Kluyveromyces lactis: one gene and its partners. The protein of the gene in region 1 purifies or fractionates together with the protein of each later gene. This does not show direct contact. Links are inferred from orthologs where the notes say so. Each region holds a gene or a part of one and is shown in the gene's direction. Other genes may lie near its edges.

Region 1 (3,228 bases):
ACGGAAACTAGTGCATTGAATGCTGACAATGTTGACGAAGCGTTCAGAGCATTGATTACTGCTATCTACCAAATGATTTCCAAAAATCAACTAGACTTGAATGACGCCTCAGGAAACAATGCCAACGCTCCAAAGGGACCTACGATCTCTTTGACACCGGCACCAAACGAAAAACACAAAAAGAGTACAAACAACTGCTGTTAGGAATTCTAAACGTGTATTATGGTCATTCCTTATAGGGTGTTTATATAGAAAGTATAAGCCCCGGAAAGAAAAAGGGAAGCAGAATTATCATCGACTGGGACATTTATCCCGATTAAGTTAGACACTTGTTTTATGTATATAACATTGACTGCCATAATTATGCAAATACTAGCTGTTTGGAAGGACATCCTGAAACTTCTTAACTGCAAAATACCTTCTCAGTTCATTGCGTCGTATCCATTGTTCTTTTAAATGAAACACTACCATAATGTCAAACATGGAGATTTAGTGAAACTACAAACTTTTATATGCGCTTGAGTAAATTTTTAATTCAAATTTCTATTTGGGTTCAGTCGGACTAGCAGGGGCAGGGGCAGGAGCAGCTGGATCCTTGAACTCTTCGTCATTTTCTTCATCGTCTTCATCATCATCATCATCCTTGCCAACCTCACCATTTTTTTCCAATTTCTCGGCAGTCTTTTTATAATCAATAATCTTACCACGAGTTCTCCTACCAGTAGTTATAATATTGGAACTATCGATTTCTGAAAGGTCGTCTTCTTCTTCATCTTCTTTTACCATCATTTGATCTAATTTTTCGTCATCGACTTCACTTTCACTATCTTCTTCCTTGTTAGCACCAGAAGTAGCAGATGCCTTGTCTTCTTGAGCAATTTTTTCATCCAAATCATCATAGTTTCTTCTTCTTCTCTTCTTTTTAGATTTCTTATCGTTGGCATCAGCGGTAGAAGCAAGCTCACTTTCAGCACTTCTTTTAGCTTGTGAAGCAACGTTGGAAGAGTCAGGCTCTTCTGCACCTATTTGAAATTCTTGCTTATCCTTAATTTCTTCAGCCATATTTGCAAACTTTGTATCTGTTGATATGATTAGTGTGCTGATGTTCGAGGAGTACGACCTAGGCTCACGCAATGCTTTTTTTGATCTAAAGATGCTTACCAGTATTTGTTTCCTTTTCGCATCTTGCGAACCAAATATAATTCATATTATCTCAAATCCCAAAGAAACATAATTTTCCACGTGATCATTTTTTTTCATAGCCGCATAGTGGATGAATTCTAACTATCATGTTGTATCGAAAATTAAAACATTAACTAGTTTCACGATCAATGAGTAACTTGCGTTGGTCCTATAAAGAATCACTGCTACGGACCGCTTTTTTGTGCATGATATAAGGATACCTCTTACAATCGAGTTTACAGTCTTTTTCACTTTCTTTGTTCACCAAGAAGAATAGTTATATCTCTAAGCATATCATACAAAAGATACAAGGACGATGTCGCAAGTTGAAGTTAAAAAGAAGGAAACGAAGCTATCAGATTTGATAGATTATAGAATACGAGTCGCTACCCATGACGGAAGGGTTTATATTGGCCAACTTATGGCTTTTGATGCATATATGAACCTTGTAATGGGAGATTGTGTAGAGGAACGCATGCCTCATAAACAAATCATAGAAGTACTTAAAAGTGGAGGAAACTTGTCAAGCAATGTGCAAGTCGAAAGAAGGACTTTTGGACTAATAATTTTACGGGGTGAGCATGTGTTGAGTACCTCGGTTGAGTCACCTCCCCAACTCTCTAAGAAGGAACGAATCGAAGTCCAGAAGAAGAATGCAAAAAAATTAGATAATGCGAAAAAGGCTCGTCAAGGGAAGACTTCTAACAAGATGAACGTTGGAACGAATGGATCTAATATAACTTCAACTAACTCAGAAAGTTCAAATAGAGTTACGAAGCCAAGTCATAAACCTATCAATACGAATTCTGGAGCTCCCAGTAGGTTTAATTCTAATAGTCAGGTACGCCCCAGCCGGTTCCAAGCCCCTCCAGGCTTCAAAAAAAGAAACTAAACCAGCGAACAACTTGTCATACTTATTGATATAAAAAAAATTGTTTTGGTGCTACGATCACCGATCTTAGCTATAATTATCCGAGACATGTTGATAGATATGTCTTTAGTTACCTCTTACGTACACGCAGAGGACTTTGGATATCCCACTGTAACGACTAGAACAAGAAGATATAGAATTTATCTAGCTTTATCCAGTGTAATGATATCCCTGTACTGCGCAACGTTAAAAGCCTGTGCGAAATATGATTATCCACCTCATTCCCTTTTCAACCACCCCACCAAATGCCTATACGAAACCTCCAGATATACCCCATGACCCCACCATAGCCCTGCGGACAAAAGAAATGTTATGTGTTAAATATGGCTTCCAACTGGACAATCATGGTGCGGAATATCTCTCAGCTGAGAACGGGCAAGAATTAGAGTTTGCAAGTTTCGCAAAAACAACAAATATATCGCATGCCACGATATCATGAGTGTGTGTTTTTTTTATAGGAATCCGGAGAAATAGTCCTACTGATTGTTCAAGCATCCCGGAAAAACCACTTCGAGATTTTCCGTGTGAGGCTTCCACTAATTTCCCCCAGAAATTACCATTGATTGTTTCGGAAAAATTATTCTCCCTGGAGTAATCTACCTGAATAAAAAAAAAATCTTTGTGCAAATTCAAGCTCCGTTGCTTTCATAGAGTCTCGTCATTAATTTCTAATTGTCCAGCTGTTCAGTCTTTGTCGTAAGATGGTGGAAATCCAACCCACTTTAACTTACCAAAGCACCGTAATCATCATCATCATCATAATACACCGTGTACTTAAATATACATACATATATATATATGGGTAGTTACCACGATTTGTCATGTCTTCCCCCCACTATCTTTCTTTCGTCTCTTTCCTGAATCGTTTAGTTCCTATTAACTTAAATGTGAAACATAATCCTTTCAAAAGCCTTATCAGGAAAGAGAAGATCCATCACAGAGTGAACTACTAGCCAGTTATACGATACAATATCCACCAATAAAGTCCAAAATAACAATAAATCACAAAACATAACAAACAAATTAACATGTCAACACCAAAAGAGTGCAACGACAGACCATATTTATGTGAAATTTGTGGGAACAGATTCCATAGGTTGGAACACAAGACAAGG
Region 2 (3,995 bases), on another chromosome or scaffold:
GTAGTACAACATCATTCACGGTGAAAGTTTGAGCAGCAACTTCTTCTGCTGTCACTGGTCTTGCACGAATAAACTTCGTTTCGCGGAGGTCTTCATCAAAGTCATCCTCGTCCTGTTTGGCTTGGTCATCAGACTCAGCAGCAGATGTTTCGTCAACAACAAGGTCACCTTCGATGACATTCAATCCAAATAATTTAATCCTTTCGCTAGCGACCATGTTCCAAACATAACTTTGGTAAGCATGCACATACATAGTTCTCAAGTTTCTAGGAATCTTTAGAATAGCATTGTGATATGAGCTAATAGGGTAATCGTTTGATGTTTCACATTTCTCCTCATGACATAGTGCATTGAGAATGGCATTTTCTGCCAAACACTGATGTGGCATTGCTTTGGCTGCATAGATTGGGTTCCTGGTTTGTGCCCAAATTCTTCTAGCTTCTTTGGAAATTGGCAAAACATTTTCTTGTTCAGCCATGATCAAATCAACAGCTTGTTTCCAGTTACCTGATAATAGGACTTGCCCAATTTGATGCGTTGAAACACTGAACGTACCAAATCTTTGCATACCGAAATAATTGATGAACCCATTTTGTTCCAAGGATTTCATGCCATTGGCTAGGATATCATCCAAATCATCGCCTTCATTCTTCAATGAAACATCTCTGATAGCAATAGTGAATTCGTTTCCCTGTAGATCTCCCAAGTTCAATGGCTCATCTTCGAATTTGTAGCCACCTAGAACGACACCCTTCAAGCCCTTGTTTAGTCCGTTTAATCTGTCCAAACCAATTTTGGATAAAGACATTCTTTGACAAGTGACAGCCCTACGATCCTTTGTTCCAGAAAATCTGATCAACCTTGTTGGAATTCTCATGAATTTTGATAAAGTATTAGCGACATCCATAGTATCTTTGTTTTCCTTATAGACAGTAAAATGAATAAACGATTTTGATGGACCATAACCCCAGTTTTCGACACCGTTTGCATCCTTAGTTTGTTCGATCAATTCTTCTTTGCTAACACGTGTTTGGCGAGAAGCCATTCCAACAATGAAATGGTTTGAATCCGTCGTTACAGATTCTAACTTGTTGTCGAAAGCTCTACGTAGCAGTTGATGTATTTTAGTCCTTTCAAGTTTATCATCGAATGCCTTCGATGTTTCAATCTTTTTATTTGAGCGGTACACAGCTTCAATTTTTTGAACATCCTCTTCTCCCAAAAGTTCAACAAGTTCATTTCTAATTCCTTCATCCACCTTAAATCCTTGGCGTTTCTCAAGTTCTTCTTTTTGCGATTGCTCGATTTGTTCTCTCGTTGGCTTTGGCTTCTTTGGCATATTAAAACCTTTGTCAGTCAAATGCACAACTTCGCCTTGCTTGGTGATTTCATTGACTAAAAAGTCAGTGTACCTTTGTTTGATCTGACCATTGAAACCAACATTATCCATTGATAAGTAATGCGTGATACCAACATCCTTTTCAGTGATGTTGTTATTGTTTATACCTTCATTTATACCTTCACCAACTTTTGTCCTCTTAATATCTTCTTGCTGGGCAGCAGCTTCGGACTCTCTTTTCAAAGATTGGTCTGACATTATACCAATACTATACTTTAACACGAGAGTACTAATACCTGGTACTTGTTATAAGCAATTAAGAAGCGCAGCTTCCAGATTTGAACAACTGACTTCTGCTTCAATGTGATGAGATGAGATGAGATGAGCTCGAAATTTTTCAAGAAACGAAAAGAACCGTTTTGTATGATGGATATTATGAAAAGTTAACGAAGTGACATATACAAAGATGAAAGAGAGTTACACGACTTAATCGAACTGATAGACAACTAATAAGTACCAATGAATACATCCAGCCGTAGCTCTGAACCTTCGAAGGTAGCAGATGATGTTTACGTTCAAACTCGGTGGAATAATGAATTTAAACATGCTGATTATTTACCTGAGTCGTTACAGAAGTGCCTGGATCAAGAAAAGACTGTTTTAGAAAGGTACAGTGAATTAGTTGAGGTGTCGAAAACTGTTGCAAACGAAAGCTCTCAAGCATTAGTCAAACATACCACAAAACCAGGCGACCAACTAGTACGAAGAGTGTTCCAACAGCCACATCAGCAGATTTCATTGATGGAACGTTATGAAAAGACTCGAAGTTATAAACCGCAATGGCATGCACCATGGAAACTCAGTAAGGTAATAAATGGTCATACTGGATGGGTAAGATGTGTATGCGTGGACCCCGTTGACAATGAATGGTTTGCTACTGGTAGCAACGATACAACCATTAAAATCTGGGATTTAGCTGCGGGAAAGTTGAAAATTACTCTAATCGGGCATGTAATGAGTGTTCGAGATATTGCTATCTCAAAGAGACATCCTTATATGTTCTCAGCAAGCGAAGATAAACTTGTAAAATGTTGGGATCTAGAAAGAAATACTGCAATTAGGGATTTTCACGGTCATTTATCTGGCGTGCATACCGTTGATGTTCATCCGAGCCTTGATATAATAGCTACTGCTGGTCGTGATGCTGTAGTAAGGTTGTGGGATATACGATCAAGATCTGAGATAATGGTTCTGCCCGGTCATAAAAGCCCTATAAATAAAGTCAAATGCCTTCCCGTTGACCCACAAATAATCAGTTGTTCCGGGGATGCAACAGTTAGACTTTGGGATATCATTGCAGGGAAGGCAAGCAAAGTTTTAACGCACCATAGTAGAAACATCAGAGACTTGACGCTACACCCAGCAGAGTTTAGCTTTGCCAGTGTATCTACGAACGACGTCAGATCCTGGAAATTGCCCGAAGGACAGCTATTAACCAACTTTCAATCCCAGAACACTGGGATTTTGAATACCGTATCAATTAATCACGATAATGTACTATTAGCTGGTGGAGATGACGGTACTTTGTGCTTTTACGATTACAAAACAGGACACAAATACCAAAGTATGATGACAACTGAAGTTGCTGGCTCACTTGAAAGTGAGCGATCGATTTTATGCAGCACCTTTGATGTCACAGGAACAAGACTCATCACAGGGGAAGGAGACAAAAGCATCAAAATATGGAAGCAAGTCCCTGATGCTACAGAAGATACATTCCCTGGCTTGCCGTGGAATCCCACGTTAATATCTCAAAGATTCTAATCTAGCTGGTGTCTACTTGCAGCGACTTATGTAGAAGTTTGTAGTTTAACTCTATTAGGTCCCCGTTTTCCATCTATCTAGAATATTTCAGTCTGCATTAATTGCGAGGTTTGCTCTAACTGTCATATGATTACAGTCACGTAGTCAAGGACAGGGAACGTCAGGTTTTCTTGTATGTTTGTTCAAGCATGGTGTTTGCTTTAATACGGTAATCTGAATAAATTAACTGAAATTTAGCATCTTCAAAATATTTGAACTTATTAGTTACGCAATAAACCAAATCCAAAAACAGAGCACCTCTGTAAGAGGAACTAGTAAGGCAAGGCAACTGTTTAACAAATATTTTGGGCGAGCTCGCTAATACATGAGTCACGGCGAAGAAAAGGAACCTGGGATTCCCCAGAAGGTTGACAGCATCGATGAGATTTTCGTTGGATGCAAGTCATGGGTACTAAAAGATGGTCAAGATCGTCTTGCTGAAATTCTATCCATTAACAGCAGAAGAGATCCACCTAAGTTCTACGTGCATTATGAAGACTTCAATAAACGTCTAGATGAATGGATCACTGCTGATAGGTTACAGATAGACAAGGAAGTCATTTTTCCTAGGCCTAAAGAGCTTGAAGAGAAGAAAGACTCGAAGAAAAAGAAGCAGCAACAGAATAAAAGTGCTACACCACAAGCAGCCAGTGCTACTCCGGATGGTGGGGATGTGATGGATTTGGATAATTTGAATGTACAAGGGATTCCTAATGAAGATATTTCCAGAGAAGATGAAATAAAGAAGCTTCGTACATCGGGGTCAATGACACAGAATCAGAATGAGGTGGCT
Region 3 (5,173 bases), on another chromosome or scaffold:
ATGATGCCCTTTCTGTATGCATGCAATGGACCACCGCTCTTATCGATAACGTACTGGTAGTATTTGTCTCTGTAATCGTCGTAAATAGCTCTTCTTGCACCTACCCAACCAATGGTCTGTAAAGTGCTCTTCAATTCAGAGTTGCCGTTGGAGATTGCGGATTTCTTGTTTAGCAAAGATCTCAATGGGTTGAAAGACACTGGATTTACCAACCCAGTGTAGAAGAATGAAGATAATATCACGATCTTGACAATATGGAAAACGAAGAATAACCATTGAGCAGTGACACTAACAGAGTTGATTTCAAGTTCTTCTCTTAATTTTTCAGCTACGAATGTTAGACCAGCGTTATCAGCGAGACTAGCAAATCTCTTAGAAAGTTGATTTGTAAGACAGATACCTGGCGTTGGAGAAATACAATCTGGTAAATCAGTGTACAACCATACCAGCATTATAGTTACAAAAGTCCAGATTGTTTTCCAGTCCTTCTCCCATTTTGGTAATACTAATTGACCAGGCCACAATTGTTCCCAAACGGTTTTCTTTGAAACTTCCAAATCCTCTAAATACTCTGAATCATCTGCAGAGTAATCGAACAATAAACATCCATTCTCAGTTAAGAAACCAGGATGCATGGATTTCCTGAAACCAGATGGTTCGTTCTTATAAAAAATTGATGGCTTCAAAACCATAAACCTTGAAAGACCCTTTTCCTTATTAAATATTAAGGCAATTTTTTGTTCTAAAGTATCATCTTTTTGTACTTGAAACGCATAATCGTACTCTAAATCATCATTCATACGCACGTAAACCTCCATTGCGACTAGTTTGCTATTGGTTATTGATGTTAATTTTCCCACAAAACCGGAAATATTCGCCTTCCTCTCTGATAAATCTTGAAAAAGTACTGAGTATAGTAACTAGCACTGCTTTGTTGTAATCTGATCTTAACCTTATACCGTCTCTGGTTGGTTCGGATGGCAAATTTGCTTTGGTGTAGTAAATTACACTCTAGAGTTCAGCCTTTTATCCTAGAAGAAAACATTTCGTACTTACCAAGTTTTAGCATATGTCATGTTTCCGTTATTATATATTATTAAGGTTTTTCCTGGTGAAAAGGAACGGACACACAGAGAGGAAGAAGAAAAAAATAAACACACACACAGAGCTGATCTGCCAATATGAGTCCACCCGATATCTGTATGCGGCCGATTAATATTTCCCCAGTAACAATGTATAAATCAACGTGTAGAGACAGACAAAGAGTTTTCTCATACTTGCTCCTCTGACCAGAAGAGAAAGTCAAAAAAACCAATACAGAGTGTCTACCAGTCAAGCTATGGCATTTGAATCCTCATACGGTGTTTTTCTTTTCTGAAGAAGAGAAACACCTACTTAGAGTTAGTAGCGTAATACGCCTTGTGCTTTGAACTTGGTGAACCATATTTACGTTTCTGCACCATCAGGTGCACATTTGTGGGGTTACCAAAACGTGATACCGTTTAACGACACCAGTGCCAGAGCCAGTGCCGGTAAGGGAACAAGTAGTATCGAATTACATGCTGATCTCGTAATGGATTAAAACAATGACTGTGTGCCTTTCTTTCTCAACGTACAAGCATGCCTGTACGCTCTCTTCATCGTAAGTTTTTCCGTCCATATGGAGCGATAAACAGCCTTTGCGTATGTTTCTGTGTTTTCTTATTCCGCTTTGAACGAGCACTTCGCTCCTGCTCCAACAGAAGTTTTTCCGAAACAATGTGGAGTCTCATGTCATTCTGGTCACGTGATCGCATCTTTTCGTGTGACGTGATGTCAGGGTAACATGTTGTTGACTTTTTGGGATTTGTTGGTCACGTGTAAGTTTTTGAAATAGTATTTCCTAACTTCTTCATAAGGGCGGCAAAAAACCAAATCTGAAAGTAAACAAAGTAACTAACAACAGCGCACTTCTTGAGTGCAAGTTGACGAACAACACTACTGATTACCATCAGTATACACCTCTGATCATCGTCTGAAGCGTGTGTTTAGTTACCCGCTAACGAAGATCGGATGACTCAGGACTCTGAAGTGTTGCTATGGCACACTGTTTTACAACGACATAGGAACTACGTTCATTCCTGCATCGGTGATTTTACTTTGGATAGATCATCATTAGCGACAGCAGAAGCTGATACAACAAGTGTTAAGGGACCGAGGTCATCGAAGAAGCGGAAGGAACTGCAATTATGTCTAGCTACACAGGATTGTGTCGAATTGTACGATGTTAGCAATGGAACATTGGATGCGTTGGGTAAATGGCCTATAGCAGCTACTATTCTTTCTATGACCAAGTTGAATATGGATAGATGTTCACATACGATTTTGGTGTTGATAACTGATTCTGGGAATTTAACATTTTGGCAGTTTGAGAGGGATTCCGTGAGCGGGAAAGTGTACGTGCGTACTTTGGCAAACGAACCGATTTCCAGATCTGGGATCAGAAGGTTTGTACCTCAATATCAAATGGTTTCGGATCCACAGAGTAGATGTGTATTTTTCAGTGGGATTGAGCGTTCAAAGATGTGCGTGTTGGCTGACTGGCAACGTGGGAAATTGGTTGTTGGTTCTCCTATAGAGATTCAACGAAGTGATAGAATCACTTTGGCATCGGCAGCTTGTGATGTAAGTTTTGATAATCCGGTGAATGCTGCCATAGAGGTAGAATCTGGGACAAATGATTACTATTTGTCTTTTTATACAATGGATTTGGGTCTTAACACGTTGCTACTCCGGAAAGAGCATCTTTTAGAGGATAAATCCATCAATTTCGTTATGCAATGCCCAAATTTACAACAGTATAAGATTAAAACTAGACCGAATGATGAAACTGATCAAGATTCGGTAAATCCATTTGTTATTTGTGGTTATGATGGATACTTGACTCTGATAGACTTAGAAGGCTTTTATGAAGTGTCTGTTCAACTCCCCGTCAGAAAAACTGTTTCGTCAACTAATATCATCAACGGTACTATTCATAAATTGAAGAAAGATTTTTTCATCCTAATGCAGTCTAACCACGGAGATATGTACAAGGTCGGAATTATCCCTGATGAAGAAACTAAGGCGCCAGTTCTTGAAATTGCATACTTTGATACACTCCCCACTTCTGAAGACATCCACATTTTCAAGTCAGGTGCTCTTTTCAACGTATCAGAATTCGGGACCTCTTATTTAACACAGTTCGAAAGTCTTGGTGAAGATCTAGAAAAAATTACATCTTATACCCCGGGAAGGAGATCATTTATTGAAACAGAGTCCACTTTGAAAAACCTATCCATTCTTGACTCCTTAACTTCTTTAAATCCCTTGACGTCATTTCATGCATCAAATTCGACACCACTCACGATATTGGCTGCAGCCAATCAAACTGAGAATCTTGTTAAATTGACTTCTGCGGTTGATTTTGAAGAACTTATATCAACTACATTACCTAGAATACCATCAAAACTTTGGACCGTTAGAATTCCTAAAAACGAAACTCACAGTCTGATATTTCTTTCTATGGAAACCTCAACGACCATCTTGAAGATCCATGAGGGAACTGTCGAAGATTTTGGTGGAGATTCAAACCCATTTATTTTGAACAAACCATCATTGTTTGTTGGCGCTATGGTTCAAAGAAGTATTATTCAAGTTACTCGGGATTGTCTTTTACAAATTATTGAAATGCATGATGGTCCATACACCAAAAAACTTGAATGGTATCCACCAGCTGGTGTTGGCATCGTGACAGCATTTTGTAATGAGACACAGTTAGTTGTCGCTTTAACAAATCATGAAATATGCTATTTTGAAATCATAGAAGATTCGTTAAACGAATTACAGGATCGAGTGGAGATGGATTCTACAGTGAATTCTATTGCATTGCTCGCCGGTCAAAAGTCAGGCTATTGTGTATTAGGATGTGAAGATTCTAGTCTGCAGATTCTCAACTTACAGAGTAAACATCCAGATTTTTTCACTATCTGTGCTATTCAGTCACTAATATCAAAACCGCACTCTCTACTTTTCATGCGGGACACGTCGGATCTTAAGATCCACGTAGGTATGAAAAGTGGTGTTTATCTGTCATCTAAACTCAATATCAATGATGGCACAGTGTTCGATGTACGTACTAGATTTGTCGGAACGAAGCCCGTCCAGGTAAATCTCTTGGACAATATAGATATCAATCACAAAGATGATGATGATGATGAACCTGGAGAAAATGATTCAAAAATAGACGATTTCAAGAAGAAGATTTCGGATTTCACTCCACTAGTGGTATTGAATTCAAGCATATCTTGGGTAACTTACGAAATTGATGATAAAATCACATTACGTCCTTTGAAAACAGATGAGGGGATAACCTTGAAACATATAAATGCTTTTATCACGGATGATATCAAGCGCAACGGCTGCTGTTCCATAACCAGCAAAGGGCAACTCCTAATCGGCAAATTAGATAACTTTTTGTCCTGGAGTAACTGGTTCAATGAGAAAAAGTATACCCTTGTTAATGACGAACTTAAAAACGCTGGCAATGAAGAAGAGGATGAAGATGAGGATGAAGATGAGGATGAAGATGCAAGTGAGAAGTACGAAATCGTTGGTTATCAATCACAACGGATCCTTTCAGATACAACGGACAATTCGTTATCATATGTTATTTCAAAGACAGCTAATAAAGAAACCAGTCTATCAGCTATTCGCGATGATAAGCTATTGGCAACAAACAATGGGAATACGGTCGTGATTATTGCTAAAGAGGTCTTTAATGCTGTCTGTAGTTGCAATTTCGGTACAAATGTTAAATATATTGTCATATCTACTGAATCAGGGAAATTTATTGTGATTCAAATTCGAGTGAAGAACAACGTTCTTGAAACCCAATACATTCATGAAACAATGGTGCATAGTAAGGTCAATGCCATGGTTTCGTTTGGAGATAAATTGGCATGTTGCATTCTTGGCAATGTTGTCCTATTTGGACTAGGTAAAAAACAATTGTTGAGGAAAAGCATCACCGAAATGCCACCATATATTACCCAAGTAACTGCATTAGACCAATGGGATGGAACCATGTTAGCAGTTGGTGATATTAGAGAATCTGTTACGATCTTCAAGTATGATATAGATAATAACAGCTTCA
Region 4 (3,176 bases), on another chromosome or scaffold:
CCTGGAATCGTCCATAACCACCCTGAATCTTTTCATGTTTAATTTCATTGGCCTCTTTCTCCAAGATCTTGGTTCTCTGAGCCTTTGTAAACGAACCGGCTTTGAAAACTTGCGTTATGTTCAACCAATTATCGTTGCATCTTCTCATGATAAGGCATGGAGGTTTATCTTTGGTATAACATTCATATACATCAACGCCCGCGTATGTAGCAACTTCAATGAAAGTTTCCGATTCGCTGTCATAACCACTTGTCTCCGCCATAGTAGGTTCCTCACTGATTTTCTTTAAACTCCCATCGATCTGCCTTTCATCGATCATCGAAGAGGATGCTCCCGTGGATGAAGAAGAATTATTGGTAGCACCACTATTAGCTCCTAATAAATTAGAATTGAACGGTTTCAAAAGTGTATCATTCTCAGAATGATGATGAGTGCCCATGTGCATTTGAAGGATAGATTCCTTGTCAAAAACGTTGCCGCTATGATGCGACAAGTGTTGTTCCATAATTACACGAAAGAAATAAATGCACACGAAATCCTAATTGTTTTAGACAAAACAAAGCAAAGAAAAGCACGCCAGAGTCAACAAAGCGTTTCGAGTCGAGTGTCACCTTCTGCTGCTGCTTCTGCTTCTGCTCCTGGCAATGTGATCTCAAGCTCGCTCACTTTGTAAAATTCAACGTAAAATATACCACGCAGTTACGGTTATTCTAGCTTTTCCACCAGTGCCCAAAAATGTATCCAGATATCGGAGTAGCAGACCAAATCAATCTCAACTGGAATGCTCTGATATTTAGCTAAGTTCACGTAGCCTACAGACACTGTTAATAACAAAGGTATACACAAATCATAAATGACATTGTAAAGTGCGTGAGAAAGTCTGCTTTCAAAAGATTATAATCTTTATTTTAAACTGTGATCAAATCTCTTTACCCAATTGGGAAAAGAAAGATTAGATGCCTCACCAAAAAAAAAATCTCAGATCTCACATTTCAAACCTCACTCCAGTGTGTTCCCATATTCAAAGCTGAGGCAACCTTTCAAAACGCCTAGAAGGGTCCGTATGACACGAAGGAGTAGGGGGGCAGAAACAGTCTTAAAAGTGAAAAAATAAGAGAAAAATCAATAATCAGATTATATTCACGTGTCAGTATTACCCGGGACACTCACGTGATTCGAAACTTTTAAGTGTTACCCGGTAAATGAATTTTATGAAATGTCGAGAATGCTTTTTCCAGCTCAATGAAATTTGGAAAAACTGAAGTTATATTGTAATTGGAATTTAAATATTGTCAATGCAATTGTATGCATTTGGTTCGTCCTACTAGGGAGTGTTACATAACTCAAACTACAGATACGCAGATAAGCAACAAAGTCTAATTCATACTTTTTTCCCTCACATTTTTCCTTCTCCAGACAGACAGAGTCCTAATTTTTTGGTATATTGTATATTGTTCCGGCCCCACCCTTTCCTACGATTAAGTTACTACGGTTTGAGATACCTAAAGAAATACGACAGCACGGGCACACTATAATTGGTAAAACAGATCAATAAGTTATAACATAAAATGCTTCCATTATATTTATTGACCAATGCAAAGGGTCAAACAATGCATGTTGAACTAAAAAATGGAGAAACTGTGGAAGGTACGCTATCTGATGTAGACAATTGGATGAACTTGACACTTTCCAATGTCACTCATGTAGCTAGTGGAGAGACTTTGAAATTACCAAGCTTCTATTTGAAAGGTTCTTTCATCAAGTATGTTAATTTGCAAGATGATATCATAGACAAGGTAAAACAACAATGGGGTCAAAACAGAGGCGGTAAAGACGATAGAAGAAGAAATAACAACTACAATAATAACAATAATTATTATCAGAATAGGGATGGTAACAGAAGAGGTGGTAGAAGAAACTATCAAAACTCAGGTAACAGAAGGGATTACAACAACAACAATAATAATAATAATAATAATAATAACAATACTCACAGCCATAACAATGCAGGATCTCGTCGTTATAATATTCAAAATAGATCACAATACGATGCATCATCCAATCCACAGCTTTCGTATTCGCAGGCGTCAAACAATAGTAATCAAACTCCACAATTTTGATTTAACCTCTTTTCTCAGCATTTAATTCTTAAGTATTTGTGTGTCTACATGGTTACATATTCAATCACTTTTATTGCGGTTAAAGAGACTATTTTGTTGGCTTGGACGGTCAAAAGTCTATAAAAACATCTGTTTCGATTGCATTCGATGCGATATCCTAAACCTTTTTCTCGTTACTCCTTTCACACTTTTGAGATTTAAAACTGAATTTGGGTTATGAAATTAAAAGAACTACCTATTAATTATGATTCAGAGTTAGTGAACCTTAAGTTCAAAGCAGTATATCAGTGCTTTATATATTAAGAGTATGTGAGCATGGGTACCGTGGAAAAGATCAAATGTTGTTATTTTTTAAATTACTCTATACAAAAATGCTTGGTTTAGAAAGTCCATGCTAGATATGCAGTATTATATAGGAGAAATATGAGACTCCTGAAGAGAGCCGGACTTTTTTTTTTTGGCCTCACTTTAAATATAAGAGGCGAACTTATTTAGCCTTGTTATATTCATTCAGCTTACCGATGAACCACAATGAGCTTAGGTAACTTAAAGATCCAAATGCTGTCCAGCAGAGAATGTTGAATAACGTACTATAACAGACAAATAGGAAAGATGAGATGAAATCTCTGTATCTGGCAACAAAAATCAAATACAAAATAGAGTACGCTTCCATATACCATGCAACTGCACCACCCATATGAAATGCCTTCCATCTCCATGAATGACATGCTTCTAGAACCCTTCCTATAACGTTGTCCCATTTGAAATTCAAAGAATCATTACCATAGTTTAGATGAATGTAACAACCAATAATGGATAGAAGGCAGATACATATGCAAACGATAACAATATTACTCAAAAGGAATCCGTATAAGTAATACAGAGTAGTCTTTTGTAGCCAAAGTGATTTGTAAGCAAATAACAACTCCACGTATATTAGAGCAAATGGAATAAGTCCAAAGGTGAGAGTGATCGCAATAGGATTTTTTAAGACGAACGGAATAGAGTTCTTACTCTCAACGTACAAAGGCCTAGTGTCATGTTTGTTCACTTCTG
Region 5 (4,581 bases), on another chromosome or scaffold:
AGACGTTGATGATACACAGAGGGATAGCCCTTGACAAATCTGATATATTTTCATTGATAGTGGACGCTATACCTTTGCATTGGAAATTGCTGCTAATATTGGTGGACCCGTGAAATTCAACTGGTTGGTGTTGAATAGCATTTCGGATAGTTGTAATAAGATTTAAAAAAAGAAAGGTTGTTTATCCTTTGTCTTTACATTAGGATATTAAAGTTAAACTCTTTAATTAACAACCTCAGTCAGAATCCACCGTTCTTGTAAATATAAAGGGATTCTATTGATTTCGTGTCTGATTGCTAGTCATTGAAGTGTTTTTAACTCTTATAAAGTTCCTGTTCGGATTAAAATACCTGTATTATAGACAGTTTGGTCTCCATCTCTATTCAATCATTTAACAAAAGGGACTCAGCTTTAAAAGTGAAAGATAACATCGTACATTCATTAAAGTGTTGTACTGGGTTTTAGTTATATATTAAGCTATCATAATGGAATCTAAAGAAACTGTTCGTATTGGTGGCAGACGTTCGAAGTTGGCTGTTGTTCAGTCTGAGCAAGTCAAAGTCATGATTGAGTCGAAATTTTCCCATATCGAATGTCCACTTCTATCTGTACACACTCTTGGCGACCAAGTTCAGTCTAAGCCCTTGTATTCTTTTGGTGGGAAGGCTGTGTGGACGAAAGAACTAGAAGATTTATTGTACAAAGATGATGAATCTCGTATCGATCTGATTGTTCATTCATTGAAAGATATGCCAACTCTTCTACCTGATGGATTCGAATTAGGCGGTATCACGAAACGTGTAGATCCTACAGATGCTCTAGTCATGCCAATTGGTTCTCCGTACAGTAGCTTGTCAGAGTTGCCTGACGGCTCGGTGGTCGGAACTTCATCAGTAAGAAGATCTGCTCAATTAAAGAGAAAATTTCCAAACCTGAAATTCGAAAGTATCAGAGGTAATATTCAAACCAGGCTGGCGAAATTAGATGATCCAGAGACTCCTTACAAATGTATCGTTTTGGCCAGTGCCGGCCTAATGAGAAGTGGACTTGATTCTAGAATTACCCAGCGTTTTAATGCTGACACAATGTGCTACGCAGTCGGTCAAGGTGCGCTTGGTATTGAAATCAGAAAAGATGACGAGAAGATGAAAAAAATTCTAAAAGAAATTTGTGATCCTTCGACGACTATCTGCTGTCTAGCCGAGCGTTCTTTACTCAGAACTCTAGAAGGTGGTTGCTCAGTTCCAATTGGTGTTGTATCCAACTACGACGAAAGTACAAAAGTGTTAACCTTAAAAGGTATTGTTATCAACGTCGAAGGTACTGAATGGGTAGAAATCGAACATAAGGTCACCATTTCTAACGAAAGGGAAGATAGTATAAATTGTGGTAAAGAACTTGCTGCTAAACTAACCCAAAATGGTGCCAAAGAGATCTTAGACTCTATCAATCTTGACAAAATCACTTAATGACGAACATTCCTTCTAAAACACGAGAGTGGAAGAAAATTGAATGGGCATGAACTCTCGGCATTCAATATAAACACCCTTTTCCCTTGCCTTATAATTCACTTATTAATGTCTTCTCTTGTTTCCGTTTACGCTTTTAATTTTATCCTGATGTATGAATTTGCATATTTACTTATTCAAATAATGTTTAATCATAGAAAAAACATGCACTTAATTAAGACCCTTTTTGCATAAAACAAACCTATATATATACTGCGATGAAGCAATGAATTGGAATGAGTTCCGAACAAAGATCTCTTTGCCATGTCAGTTGTAGGTCTGTTCAATTATTTCTTTGTTTATAGATGCAAAATAGAAAAATGACCATTATCAAGAACATGAAATATATACACGTAGTTTAACTCATGAGCCAACATAACAAAGTAGAGCACGCAGCTAAACGCACTGAAATCATCGTTGCTCTGCCAGTACTGTGAAAAAGGAAATGGAAGATGATCTTAATCTATTAGGTGATCAAAAGCTATCTGAATTCAGTCTCTTAATATGCAAATATCCAAAAAGTTTGCACCATTGGGAGAATCTTTTGAATCATTTATTGCTGAAGGCATCACCTATCTCAAAATCTATTAATAAAGACCTTCTTCAGCTAGTACGATCGACATATGAATCATTACTCTACCAGTTCCCCTTTTTGGAGAATTATCATGTCGAATACGGACTATTGGAGTATAAACTAGGGAATTTTGGTAAGTTTCACGCTATATTCGAGAATGCTCTTCAGTATTTCAACAATAGGTCATTGTTAATATGGGTAGAATACTTGAAGATCTGCAATAAAATTATGCCCAGTGATAAGCAACTTTTCCAAAAATATGCCTTTGCGGAATCCTACATTGGATTGCATTTCTTCGGTGCTGAATTTTGGCACATGTATCTTAACGAAATAAAACTGCGATGCAAGACACCGCAACATTACATTCGAACGTTAAGAAAAGTGATAGAAATACCGTTATATGAATATTCCAGTTTTTATGATTTGTGGCTACAAACCATTGAAGATGTTAAAGATCTTTCACAATTAAGGTTCTATGCGGAAGATAAAGAGCTATGGAAAAAGTTGAAGATAGACACACAATTGAATGGTCGCAGAGGCCCACATTTGCAAGTCGCCAAGAAAGCTTTGAAGAAAGTTTCTAAAGAGTTATTCCTTGTCGTACAGTATGAAGTTATGGAGATATATGAATTGTTTGAAAGTAAGATCACCAAAAGATACTACATGTCTGCGGAAGAACTTATTCCACACCAGGAAATCATCGTCTGGACGAAATATTTCGAATATATCAGGGAAAAGAAAATTTCAGACCTAATCAAGCTTCAGTTTCAGCGATCTGTGCTCCCTTTAGCTCATTATGACCATATATGGTTGCAGTACGCCAACTATTTAATTGATGATTTGAACGATTTCATTGGTGCCAAAAACGTGATGTTACAGGCTTTATCCTACGTTCACAAGCGTTCCAGGATTGTCACAATGTTATCCTCGGTTCTCATTAGATTAGGGCAGATTTCAGAACTCCATCAATTATATGATGATATTTCACTCGCATTCTCAAATGATCTAACTACTTCCGATGATTTCGAAATATTCATTGACTACATACAATTCAACTTGTTCTTGAGTTCTGCCAATTCAAAAAGTCGCTTCAGTGGTTTAACAAACAACATCGAATTCTCCGACAATTTACTGGATGTATTGATGAAAAAGGCAAGTAAAGAAGATGATCATAACAGACAATACATTTTATTGAACATGGTAAATGAAATGTACGAGCGTTTTCCGCGTGCTTTAGTTGAAACTAAAGTTTATCAACACATAATCAATAGCAAATGGAAATCGTTCCTGGAAAATCCAAAGTTCTGGTACCTTTATTGTTCTCTAGTATGGTACGATAATAATATCACCTATTTAAAGAGGCGGAAGCATATTATAAATGATATCATTCCATCTGCTGCAAAGTATGGTAAGGCTGTTTTGTCTGAAGTAGAATTGTTTATTTCAAACTACTTGCCAGATGATATGGAACTCTTTACTGAAGCCTACACAAATCAGGGACAGATGAAAGTTCCTATTTAATTAGTTTATGTCTACAAGTTCACTTATTCAATTCAAAATAGACGTTTATAGTAGTGATAATTCCATATAGGAATAAGAGTAAACAGCCAACTCTCTTGTCTAACTTCCAATTATTTAGGGGGACCACAAAAATAAATATGCCAAACGCTATGACTATGCCGATACAATTGAAGACTAGTCCACGATTAACATCGAAATCTATGTGCCTACTCCATATTGCTGTACCTTCAGGGTATTCCCTCTGAAGAAGGACGAGCATGCCATCTACACCAACACCAAATAGGAAATATAGTAGAGGGCTACCAAAACAGGAACCCAATGCAATCTCCAATACTCCAATTCTGGTGAATGTGACATTAGAGACCAAATCACCAATAGAATTTCCCCACGCAAAAACTGTCAAACCAAGTATAGCTTCTGAGAGATTGAACGTCTCCGCCCAATTCGTTAAAATGTCAAGCACCAACCCAACAACAAATGATATGGAAGAAATTGAAAGAACAAATCCAAATAAAGAGATATATTTTTCCTTGACCGTTAGTTTCCATTTGAAGAACATCAAAAGTAAAATACAGGATACAATTAAGCCAAGAGTAAATAACCAAATGTTAAATTCACGTTGTACCAACAGAAGAGTCAAGAACGGGGAGAATGCACACTGACAATAGTACGCAGCTTTGAAAAAGTTACTCCCTGACATTGACGAATAGTGAAGGGGTATTATAAGAGTCAGAAAGAAAACAATTGGTGTGGTGATGAGAATTATTGCTAGTTCGAAATTCGAAGTCGCAAAATTTGGATCAGTTAGATATCTGAACACCCTTAACTTGGACTCCCACTGATCCTCTGGTTCTGCTGAAATTCCGTTATCAAGTTGTAAGTTCAATGCAGACATGTCATCCAACATACTTGATTGTTCCGTCATCAAGCGTATATTATCTGCACTGGCTGATCTTAGTGTCTCCATCCGGTCCTTTG
Region 6 (5,192 bases), on another chromosome or scaffold:
AGCAACAGCAGCTTCGATCTCAAAACCATGGTTGGCATCAGGGGGATATTCTGCATATTTAAGCAAGGATTTATCGAACTGGAATGATATAGCGAATGCAGTGTTAGGCGGGATAATCATTGCCCTTTCCAAATGTGTCGGTCTCTCACGATCTCTTGCCGGGGAATAGAAGGTAGATTTTACTACTGAATCTAGAGTTAGTTCAGGATCATCACTCTCTATGGCTAAGGAGGACAAGTATACTCCCATGAACCAAGGCAAGGATTCAAAATAAACTAATTCCACAGCTTCGTTGGAAGGATTACGAAATACTGATCTTAACCCGCCACGGTCTTGGCCATAACCAGTGAGAGCTCTGGAAACGTATATTGGAGTCTTTTTGGAGGGTAGTACACTCTTAGAGTCTGTCGTTTCCAAGCGAACATCATGTGGTTTGTTATTGTTGAGATCGAAACAGTTGTCGTCGGTTGCAAAATATGATTCGTCGACCTGTATCATAACGTCCCAATGTGAGGGAACGTGAACACATATTTTTGAGCTTTGTTCGCCAAGCAAGCTGCCTCCACGGATTTTCTTACCAAATAGTTTTGAGATGCTGAAACTAACTTCTTTGCTTTGAGGTAACGGGAAACATTGGAACGCGTCGTGTGGTCTATTCGTGTCACAACGAAGTTCGTCGCCTGGTAAAGGCTTCGGAATTGGTCTGTCAGCTCTGGCCAAAGCATTTGGTACGTTGACCACTGTTTCGATAAATTCTTCCATAACAAAGTGGCAATTGGCAGTTGATTCGTCACAAACAGTATTGACATCAATCGACAGACTGTGCCAATTTGAATCAAAGATCTTGTGGCCATCTAACAAAGAGGAGATACCAGATTTCCCTCTTGTTGGTAAAAGTTTTACAAATGGGGTCAAATTTTCAGTACAAACCGGTTCGTTGGCTAAAGTTGCTCTCATGAGGTAAAGATGGTTGCTTTGATTCAGTAGTGGGATCGCTTCGTCTTCTTTCGGTAAGAATGATGATACCGGAAACGTCGTCTTTGAAGTGTCAATGAAATTGATGGAAGCACAGAACAATCCACTTAACGAATTGGCCAACGTTATCCATGATTTCAACGCTTCTTCCTTCGATGGTGCTTCCACAATAGCCCATAATTCCACACCTGTTCCTCCAGATTTCAACCCGTTGTGTGGAAGCTGGCCCCATTCTTGTGAATCCCATAGCCCATGTGTAAATCTCAAGTGTAACTGTCTGGTATTAGTCTGTGACATAATGGGCCCAACGGGCTTCGGGAAAACTGTGTGATGAGAGTATTCACTGGATTCGTGCTGGTCTCTATCTATACCAAATGGCTCTGATTGCATATAGAACTGAAAACTTGCAAGCAAAAAGTTGTTAGGCAAGGGAGTTAGATCCAGATGCTCTCGAAAATTATACTCAATAGGATGCTCTAGTGAAAGAAACTTCGAGGACTGTGTTATTCTCGATGATTCCCCAGGCTCTGCATTCCAGCTTTCATCTATAACATCTTGCTGAACTGATTCTGTTTCGTTGTCAACTGGATTAACTTCAAAGTCTACTTCAGCCGTCACGATGGCTGCTAGAAGCAAAACTGGAATCCAATTTTGTAACCTCATGCGGTATGGACCCAGAGTATAATACTTTTCTAAAAGTTAGGCTATTTTCTGGCCTCTTAACTAAACTATCCTCTTTTCTCTGTTGAGAAGTATCGTTCTTTGTTTTGTATATGTGTTTATAATTAAAGATTCGAGTTACAACTTAGTAACAATTTTGATGTCAAGAACCTTTGAATCAAAAGGAAGAAAGGTATAACTGAAAGGCAAGCACCAATCAGGATCTTTATTGCTATTGCCGAGTTTGGTATTAAACAGCTGTACTTAAAATGGAAGCTATCAAGTTCGAAAAGTCGGGCCAGCGACATTCTCTTACAGGACAATACACTGCTCCCAGAGCCATATTGGAATCGACTGTAGGGAAAGATGAGGGGGATGATGAGTTGACAGCCAACCAGAAGCAACGAAGCTTGTATAATAAACAGTCTGATTATCATAAGAGAAGGTTCCTTAGGAATTTGGATGAAGAAGTGGATGAAGAGCAAGTGAAAGATGTGAAAAGAAGGAAAACCGATAAGGATGGTGATAAGGAAGAGGAAAGTGGCGGTGGATATACGATGCCCAAGACTTCGCAGCATATTATAACTGAGCTCTCGGAAGAGATGGTTACTGAAGTTCCAGGGGTACGTAATCTTCAGTTCTTTAAGCCTTCAGACAGACAACATTTCGCAATTTTGTTTGATGAAAGGTCTCCAGAAGATATGACTGAAGAGGAAAGGAAACAGAAACAGGTTTTAAAATTGGTACTTAAGGTGAAAAATGGGTTACCAAGCTCTAGGAAAATAGCTCTCAGAGCACTCACTCAAAAGGCACCCTCTTTCGGGGCACCATTGTTATTTGATTCGATCTTGCCCATTCTTCTCGATAAAACACTTGAAGATGAAGAGCATCAACTAATGTTGAAACTTATGGATAGAATTCTTTTCCAGCTCCAGGATTTGGTAAAACCATATACACATAAGCTCCTAATAGTATTATGTCCTATGCTTATAGATCCTGTGCCCTTGACTAGATCTACAGGTAGAGATATTATAACTACTTTGGCAAAAGCCGTGGGACTACCGACAATGATATACACAATGAGACCAGATCTCGACCATGAGGATGAGTATGTGCGAAACACGACGGCGAGAGCAATGGCCGTTGTATCGAAAGCCTTCGGGGTAAGTCAAACAATACCATTCCTACGATTGGTTTGTAGATCGAAAAAGAGCTGGAAGGCAAGACATACTGGGATAAAGATAATTCAGCAAATTGCTATTTTAGTAGGGATTGGTAGCTTACCATACCTCGACGATCTTATCGCATGTATAGAGAAGGGATTTCAAGATGAACATCCTCCAGTGAGAATCATAGCCGCTCAAACAGTGTCATCATTGGCACAAAGCTGCCAGCCATATGGTATTGAGCGCTTTAATCCGGTCCTCGAACCACTTTGGAGAGGTGTTAAACAAAACAGGGGAAGAGAACTAGCTGCATTTTTGAAGGCTCTAGGATTTCTCATTCCGTTGATGGATCCCGAATATGCGTCGTATTACGCTGAAGAAGTGATGAAGATTGTAAAGAGAGAATTCAATTCACCGAACGAAGATATGAAGAAAACGGTTCTATTTGTTATACAAAAGCTTTCCGTGACTGAAGGTGTAACACCTCAGTATCTGAGAAAAGAGCTAGCAGCAGAGTTTTTCAAACAATTTTGGGTTCGTAGATCGGCTTTGGATCGTCAACTCAACAACATAGTAACATTTACTACTGTTTTATTGGCTAATAAGACTGGAGCTGCATTCACGCTTGAAAAGCTTATATATCCATTAAAGGATGAATCTGAACCGTTCAGAACAATGGGTGCACATGCAGTTAACAGAGTTGTGAAAGCATTAGGAATGACAGATGTTGATGAAAGGCTTGAAGCGAGGTTGCTTGATGCTTTACTTATTGCATTCCAAGATCAAACGAATGGTGAGAGAATTGTCTACAGATCTATTGGAACTGTCGCCAAATCTTTGAATACCAGAATGAAACCGTATATTTCGCCGGTGTCAAGTATTATTCTAGAACATTTGAAACACAAAAAACCTTTGGTTAGAACACATGCGGCGAGTTTATGTGCCCTCTTGATCCCGGTTTTCAAACACTGTGAAGAAACAGCTCTTATCAATAAATTCAACATTATCCTTTTTGAATCGTTAGGCGAAGTTTATCCAGAGGTGTTAGCTGCAATCATTTCCGCAATGGACAAAGCTGCTGCACAGATAAGGCTAACTGACTTACAACCACCTCCGAATCAAATTTTACTATCATTGACACCAATTTTGAGAAACAACCATCCTTTAGTCCAGGAATCTACTGTTAAACTTGTTGGAAGAATTGCCAGGCGTGGGCCTGAATATGTTTCTCCTAAAGAATGGATGCGCATTTGTTCTGAGCTTTTGGAAATGTTAAAAAGTCCTGTGAAGTCCATCAGGGTGGCAGCGAACAGAACATTTGGATATATTGCCAAAGCGATAGGACCTCAGGATGTTTTGGTAACGTTGTTAAATAATTTGAAGGTGCAAGAACGTCAACTTCGTGTTAACACCTCTATTGCAATTGGTATCGTTGCTAAGACATGTGGGCCATTTGTTGTCATACCTGCATTGATGAATGAATACAGAACACCTGACACAAACGTACAGAACGGTATTTTAAAGGCACTTGCCTTTATTTTAGAATACATTGGTCCCATGTCTAAGGATTACATTTATCCACTTATACCGTTGTTGCAGGATGCTCTAACAGATAGGGACTTGGTTCATCGACAAACTGCAGCAACCTGCATAAAGCATTTAGCTTTCAATTGTGCAGGAAGAGGATTAGAGGACGCGTTCATCCATTGCATGAATTTATTATTGCCAAACGTCTTTGAAACTTCACCTCATGTTATTTCCAGAATCCTAGAGGGGCTAGAAGGACTAAGAATGGCTCTAGGACCAGGTGTTTCTATGAATTATGCCTGGGGAGGTTTATTTCATCCTGCTAAGAATGTTCGGAACGCATATTGGAAACTATATAACGGAGCATACGTCGCTCAACCAGATGCTTTGGTTCCGTACTACCCTGTCAATGAGGTAGAAGAGCTTAACTTGTTATTATAACTAGAAAATTGCAGTAATTATTATGTAGTTAAAAATTAAAGATTCTATTGGTTTTAAACTAAGTTAGTGATCTCTCAAGGATCGGAAGAAGTAGAACTCCTGTCGTCTTCCTCACCTTCTTCAATATCATCGGTATCATCACTTTCATCGCTGCTTGATTCTTCTAATTGGGCAACATCAGATTCCGTTTCTGATTCTTCCTCTATAACGATCTTCGTTTTCTTCGGTTTCTCTGGGATATCTGCAAAGAATTCATCCAAACTTTGTAGTTTGTAAGTTTTCCCTTTTGAGGATGTGAAAGTTTTTGGCTCTGGACTTGATGATTTGCTGGATATTGGCGAGGAGGCCTTAGGTTGCTGGTAATTAGCCCTAGTCCTACTAGCGAAGAAAGTATTAGATGAAATGCTAGATTTATTCTTCATG
Region 7 (4,853 bases), on another chromosome or scaffold:
CTCAGTTACGATCACTATGAAGCGATGTACAACTTAAACCCCTTGAACGAACAGGTATGTATTGATGATTTATCGCATGACATTTGTCATCAATTCATTAAGTGATCTTCAATAAATATTTTCATTTAAGCAATGAGAAGCTCACATTTGCGTTCATCAGTTTCTATAAAATTTATAAACACTTAATACTTCCCACCCTGCTTTTCTGTGTATCACTAATTCACTTTTCCATCCGCTGAACTTCATCTTACTTGCCACAGTTTCAGGTTTATTTCTAGCACAAAACAATATGTACGCTACTCCGTTGCAGCTAAGAATTCTGTCCAATCCATTCAATAGTCTCTGTGTGACCACCATCCCATCATCACCACCATCCAATGCTAGAAAGAGCCACTCATCATCACGAACAGCATGATTTGAATGAGGCAGTTCTGGTACAGTTTCTGCAGGTACATATGGTGGATTAAAGACAAGCAGGTCGACCTCATTTTCCCTTATTGAAGACGTAAGGTCTGTTTGTAATACATCAAAATGGCTATTCTTGCAACCATTCTTCGAACAAGTGTCTAAGGTAGCGTCCAATGCCCAAGGGTTCAAATCAGTTGCCAAATAAAGTCCATTGGCGTTTGGTATACCATTTTGCATAAGAAACGTAGAGACTATCCCAGAACCAGAACCAATTTCTATAGTCAATGGTACTGCGTCATTGAACCTGTTATTCAACCAACTCAGATCAGCTTCTAATGCATCTAATAAAAGAAAAGAGTCCTCGCTTGGCTCGTATACTTTATTATAATCATAAGAGACGTATGGTGTAGCTAGCATCGCCCTGTTATCCTAAGCCCTGATGAGCTATAGCTCGCATCAATATCTGTTCTGCACCTGTATCTTTTCAAACATGGAAGTCATCGCATATATAATATTGTATTTGAAAAGTTGATATTGAACAATAACGTATGCAAAAGGTCATCTAAAAGAAAGTAATTAAATTGAAGCTTAACAACTAGTCTACTGTTTGATACAACTATTAATCACCATTTTCAGAGAATCGACAATCAGTTGCTTGTTTGTGGTTGAGAAAGATGCAATTAAAGGTCAAGACATTAACAGGGAAGGAAATCTCCGTAGATGTTCAAAGTTCAGAAACGGTCTATCATATCAAAGAGCTATTAGAAGAAAAAGAGGGTATTCCACCATCACAGCAGAAGTTGATCTTCCAGGGCAAACAAATGTATGTTAATTAACTGATAATTCAGAACTGAGAAGAGTTTGATATCAAATTAATGTAGGGACTCTTTTACTAACTAGTAAGTAATGCTATCTTTAAATCAGAGATGATAACGCAACAATCGGCAGTGCCGACTTGCAAGATGGATCTCTTTTACATCTTGTTCTAACTTTAAGAGGCGGTTGTTGAGAGCCATGTGTCATTGCATTGCGAAACCTCAAGATACGTATGTGTATAAGTATTTTGCAGATAAATACCTGGAGGAATTACTCTGCATTTAATAAAACGACTATAATTATTGGAAGCTAACACTATGAATGACATAATTTACATTTACACGACCGTCCAATTATCAAACAAAGGAAGGATGTAACACATGCTTGTTGCTTTTCCTTGTATGCATGAATGAACCTTATAAATACATAATGATTCAGATATCAAATTTAGTGCGAACATTATAATTGTAGAAACAGATGAACTTAACGACAACGATGCAAACAAAAGTAAGAAAAACACGGATAACTTACCTGACTATACTGTAACATGGGTGACAATAGTTTATCCAATGAAGCCATCACTGCCGATAATATTTTGAAGGATGCCTTTAGCCAAAAGAAGCAGATTGCAGCTACTACGAAGGCAGATATATTAGATTTGGAAGAACTGAAAGACTGGCAACGAAGGAAAAGAACAGAGTATGAGACAGTTTTGAAAAGAAATAGGTTAGACCTTCGTCAATGGATGAGGTATGCTCAATTTGAATTTGATCAGAAAGATATACGAAGAGCTAGGTCCATTTATGAACGCGCTCTTCTTGTTGATCATGGGTTTATTCCACTATGGATTCAATACATCGACAGTGAAATCAAATGGAAAAATATCAACCATGCAAGGAACTTGTTAGACAGAGCAACAAACGCTCTTCCTCGTGTTGATAAGCTCTGGTTCAAATATCTTTTATTGGAAGAATCTTTGGGAAATCAGGGTATTGTACGAGGCATTTATACAAGATGGTGTTCATTTGAACCTGGTCCCGATGCATGGGACTCCTTCATCGAGTTCGAAACAAGGTGCTTGAATTTTGAAAATGTCAGGAACATTTACTCGAAGTTTGTTCTAGTCCATCCTCAAATAGATACCTGGTTGAAATGGGTTCGTTTTGAACAAACTCATGGAGATATATCATCCGTACGAACAGTGTTCTCATTCGCGCTAGACACACTCACAAGTTTCAGCGGAACACCACTGGTAGATATTGAACGAGTTATTGGTAGCTTCGCTTCCTGGGAAGCTTCTCAGGGAGAGTATGAACGATCTAGAACGTTATACCGACTAGCAGTTGAAAGATGGCCAATTTCTGAAGCATTAAAGGAACAGCAGATTCAGTTCGAGAAGAAGTTCGGCTCTTCGAAAAATATGGAGGACATAGTAATCGCTAAAAGGAAAGCCGAGTACGAGCAATATCTAAAATCAGATCCCTATCATTATTCTACTTGGTGGGTCTATATTGACCTGGTTGAGGAAAAATATCAAGAGCAATTGACATCAGCTTTCCAGTCGTTCATTGAATTGGCAAAGCCGAAGTCCCTGGTAAAGGATTCGAGCTGGAAGAGGTACATAAGAATCTGCGTACGATACTTGGTCTATCTAGAGCTCACCATTAATGATTTGCCTACGATACGCTCGGTTTATCAAGACATCCTCGACATCATTCCACATAAGAAGTTTACATTCGGTAAACTGTGGATAATGTATGCAGAATTCGAAATTAGGCAGAACAACTTGCTGAAAGCAAGAAAAATTCTGGGTGTGAGCTTAGGAAAGTCCCCCAAGCCAAAAGTGTTTAAATATTACATCAATTTGGAGATAAGGCTAAAAGAGTTTGATAGAGTGAGAAAGCTATACGAGAAATACATCGATTTCAATCCTAGTTCAGTGCAATCATGGTTGGATTATGCAGAATTAGAAGAAAATTTAGGAGATGAAGATAGATCAAGAGGGATCTATGATATCTCCATGAGCAATAATGTTGGATTATCTGAATCGGACCAGCTGATTGTCATTCAGCGCTATATCGCTTTTGAAACTGATGCAGCAGAATATGAAAAGGCTAGAGAGTTGTACGAGAAGTATTTGATTTTGAGTAGATATGACGTGAACATATGGATAAACCAGGCGCTTTTCGAGAGCACTATTCCAACTGAGACCCAACTAATAGCCTATCAACAATCTCATCAAGACGGGAATTTTGACGACGATGGCGAAGAGGAGTTCAGTTTTGAAATTACACCTGAGAATAAGCATCACACCAGGGCTATTTTTGAGAAGGCAATTTCATATTTCAAAGAACATAATGAAGATAAGAAACGCCAGCAAGTTTTACAATCTCTCCTGGAGTATGAGAAAGTTCATGGTAATCAAGAAACTTTGGAAAAGGTCAATGCTAGACAACCAAGTTTGGTTAGGGAAAAAGTTACTATCGATAACATTGAGCAAGAGTCATATAAATTGGATTTTCCGGACGATCGTGTTGCTCAACCTCCTATTGCTCGAAATCTTCTAGCTTTGGCAAAACAATGGGAGAAAAATTCCAGCTGATATGTAACTTTATATTCATATACAGATAATACAATTGTAGATTTAGAACACGCATTTAATCAGGTTGGCATATAGGCTATTGAGAAAAAATACGAATTGTATTAATTATTCGTTTCATTATCGGTAAAACTTTGTGGCAACTGGTTTGACGGTATCGAACTGGGTGTTGATATCGTAGAAGGGGTAAGCCCAGGTGCATTCATTGTCGGTACAGATCCTGGGGGCATTAATCCTGGAGGAACGTTGCCTGGTGCTGCTGCCAATCCTGGTGCTGCCAATCCTGGTGCTGCCAATCCTGGTGCTGCCAATCCTGGTGCTGCCAATCCTGGTGCTGCCAATCCTGGTGCTGCCAATCCTGGTGCTGCCATTCCTGGTGCTGCCATTCCTGGTGCTGCCATTCCGGGAGGAGATAAACCTGGGGGTGCCATTCCTGGAGTAGCAATATTTAAGTTTCCTTCAGTGATACCTATTCCAGACGTTGAATTTTCTGCAGCCAGAGATTCGGATCTGGCTGAAACAGAAGAAGGTGAACCTACAGAAGAGTTGGAGCCCGCTGTAGCAGTAATCCCATCACCTCCTAGTCCATCAATAGAAATTTGCATCATAGGGGTTAGTCTATGAGTATTTACGATAGTGCTTTGGTCGTGGATGTTAGATTCTGCATTTTTGAATCTTTTGGCTGCGTCGGAAGCGACCTCTATTCCAATTCTCTTTCTTCCGAATGTTTGTACATAGTTATCTTCTCTTAGTGTACCATTCAAAACAGCAAGCTCTCTCAACTGACCTCGCTTCAAATCATTTTGACCTTCAGGTGAAGTGATCGCCTTGACGACTATACTTTCACAGGCCTTGATTCCTAATGGTATTTTGTCCTCTACATCTGCAATAATGATGCAGTGCAATGGCTCATTCATATTCATTGCACCTTTCGGTAGGTCTGCAGCAGCTTTACCTGATCTGACGGATCCTCGTCCTCTGATGGAAATCTTACATCCCGATTCTTGTTGAAGCTTCTTCAAAGTATTAC

The links.
Region 2: the proteins of SMB1 (region 1) and PRP46 purify together in Saccharomyces cerevisiae (affinity purification with mass spectrometry; 3 studies listed by BioGRID). This does not show direct contact. The link is inferred for Kluyveromyces lactis from reciprocal best matches to the Saccharomyces cerevisiae genes SMB1 and PRP46.
Region 3: the proteins of SMB1 (region 1) and RSE1 purify together in Saccharomyces cerevisiae (affinity purification with mass spectrometry; 4 studies listed by BioGRID). This does not show direct contact. The link is inferred for Kluyveromyces lactis from reciprocal best matches to the Saccharomyces cerevisiae genes SMB1 and RSE1.
Region 4: the proteins of SMB1 (region 1) and LSM4 purify together in Saccharomyces cerevisiae (affinity purification with mass spectrometry; 3 studies listed by BioGRID). This does not show direct contact. The link is inferred for Kluyveromyces lactis from reciprocal best matches to the Saccharomyces cerevisiae genes SMB1 and LSM4.
Region 5: the proteins of SMB1 (region 1) and PRP42 purify together in Saccharomyces cerevisiae (affinity purification with mass spectrometry; 3 studies listed by BioGRID). This does not show direct contact. The link is inferred for Kluyveromyces lactis from reciprocal best matches to the Saccharomyces cerevisiae genes SMB1 and PRP42.
Region 6: the proteins of SMB1 (region 1) and HSH155 purify together in Saccharomyces cerevisiae (affinity purification with mass spectrometry; 4 studies listed by BioGRID). This does not show direct contact. The link is inferred for Kluyveromyces lactis from reciprocal best matches to the Saccharomyces cerevisiae genes SMB1 and HSH155.
Region 7: the proteins of SMB1 (region 1) and CLF1 purify together in Saccharomyces cerevisiae (affinity purification with mass spectrometry; 4 studies listed by BioGRID). This does not show direct contact. The link is inferred for Kluyveromyces lactis from reciprocal best matches to the Saccharomyces cerevisiae genes SMB1 and CLF1.

What each region holds. Positions count from the first base shown.
Region 1 is NC_006038.1:47,369-50,596, reverse strand, and holds SMB1 (mRNA splicing protein SMB1), read left to right. Parts: upstream 1-1,498; coding exon 1,499-2,074; downstream 2,075-3,228. Other genes in the region: Rab family GTPase YPT31, read left to right, coding at 1-204; CHZ1 (Chz1p), read right to left, coding at 544-1,062. UniProt on the Saccharomyces cerevisiae protein: Plays a role in pre-mRNA splicing as a core component of the spliceosomal U1, U2, U4 and U5 small nuclear ribonucleoproteins (snRNPs), the building blocks of the spliceosome.
Region 2 is NC_006042.1:1,033,876-1,037,870, reverse strand, and holds PRP46 (mRNA splicing protein PRP46), read left to right. Parts: upstream 1-1,858; coding exon 1,859-3,163; downstream 3,164-3,995. Other genes in the region: pseudouridine synthase PUS7, read right to left, coding at 1-1,597; NuA4 histone acetyltransferase complex catalytic subunit ESA1, read left to right, coding at 3,528-3,995. UniProt on the Saccharomyces cerevisiae protein: Involved in pre-mRNA splicing. May also be required for cell cycle progression at G2/M.
Region 3 is NC_006037.1:720,165-725,337, forward strand, and holds the start of RSE1 (U2 snRNP complex subunit RSE1), read left to right. Parts: upstream 1-2,052; coding exon 2,053-5,173. Other genes in the region: GSF2 (Gsf2p), read right to left, coding at 1-818. UniProt on the Saccharomyces cerevisiae protein: Involved in G2/M transition. Required for pre-mRNA splicing and endoplasmic reticulum (ER) to Golgi secretion pathway. U2 snRNPs associated protein required for the pre-spliceosome assembly.
Region 4 is NC_006041.1:1,854,819-1,857,994, forward strand, and holds LSM4 (U6 snRNA complex subunit LSM4), read left to right. Parts: upstream 1-1,568; coding exon 1,569-2,120; downstream 2,121-3,176. Other genes in the region: SBF complex DNA-binding subunit SWI4, read right to left, coding at 1-505; TMN3 (Tmn3p), read right to left, coding at 2,608-3,176. UniProt on the Saccharomyces cerevisiae protein: Component of LSm protein complexes, which are involved in RNA processing and may function in a chaperone-like manner. Component of the cytoplasmic LSM1-LSM7 complex which is involved in mRNA degradation by activating the decapping step.
Region 5 is NC_006039.1:1,318,741-1,323,321, forward strand, and holds PRP42 (mRNA splicing protein PRP42), read left to right. Parts: upstream 1-1,953; coding exon 1,954-3,603; downstream 3,604-4,581. Other genes in the region: HEM3 (hydroxymethylbilane synthase), read left to right, coding at 486-1,469; YCX1 (Ycx1p), read right to left, coding at 3,623-4,581. UniProt on the Saccharomyces cerevisiae protein: Essential component of the U1 snRNP particle, which recognizes and binds the 5'-splice site of pre-mRNA. Together with other non-snRNP factors, U1 snRNP forms the spliceosomal commitment complex, that targets pre-mRNA to the splicing pathway.
Region 6 is NC_006037.1:833,749-838,940, forward strand, and holds HSH155 (U2 snRNP complex subunit HSH155), read left to right. Parts: upstream 1-1,904; coding exon 1,905-4,769; downstream 4,770-5,192. Other genes in the region: GPI-anchor transamidase subunit GPI16, read right to left, coding at 1-1,638; APL6 (AP-3 complex subunit beta), read right to left, coding at 4,844-5,192. UniProt on the Saccharomyces cerevisiae protein: Contacts pre-mRNA on both sides of the branch site early in spliceosome assembly.
Region 7 is NC_006042.1:1,643,821-1,648,673, forward strand, and holds CLF1 (Clf1p), read left to right. Parts: upstream 1-1,771; coding exon 1,772-3,826; downstream 3,827-4,853. Other genes in the region: DOP1 (Dop1p), read left to right, coding at 1-105; MTQ2 (S-adenosylmethionine-dependent methyltransferase), read right to left, coding at 157-825; NEDD8 family protein RUB1, read left to right, coding at 1,083-1,231, 1,333-1,417; mRNA splicing protein MSL5, read right to left, coding at 3,928-4,853. UniProt on the Saccharomyces cerevisiae protein: Involved in pre-mRNA splicing and cell cycle progression. Required for the spliceosome assembly by promoting the functional integration of the U4/U6.U5 tri-snRNP particle into the U1-, U2-dependent pre-spliceosome.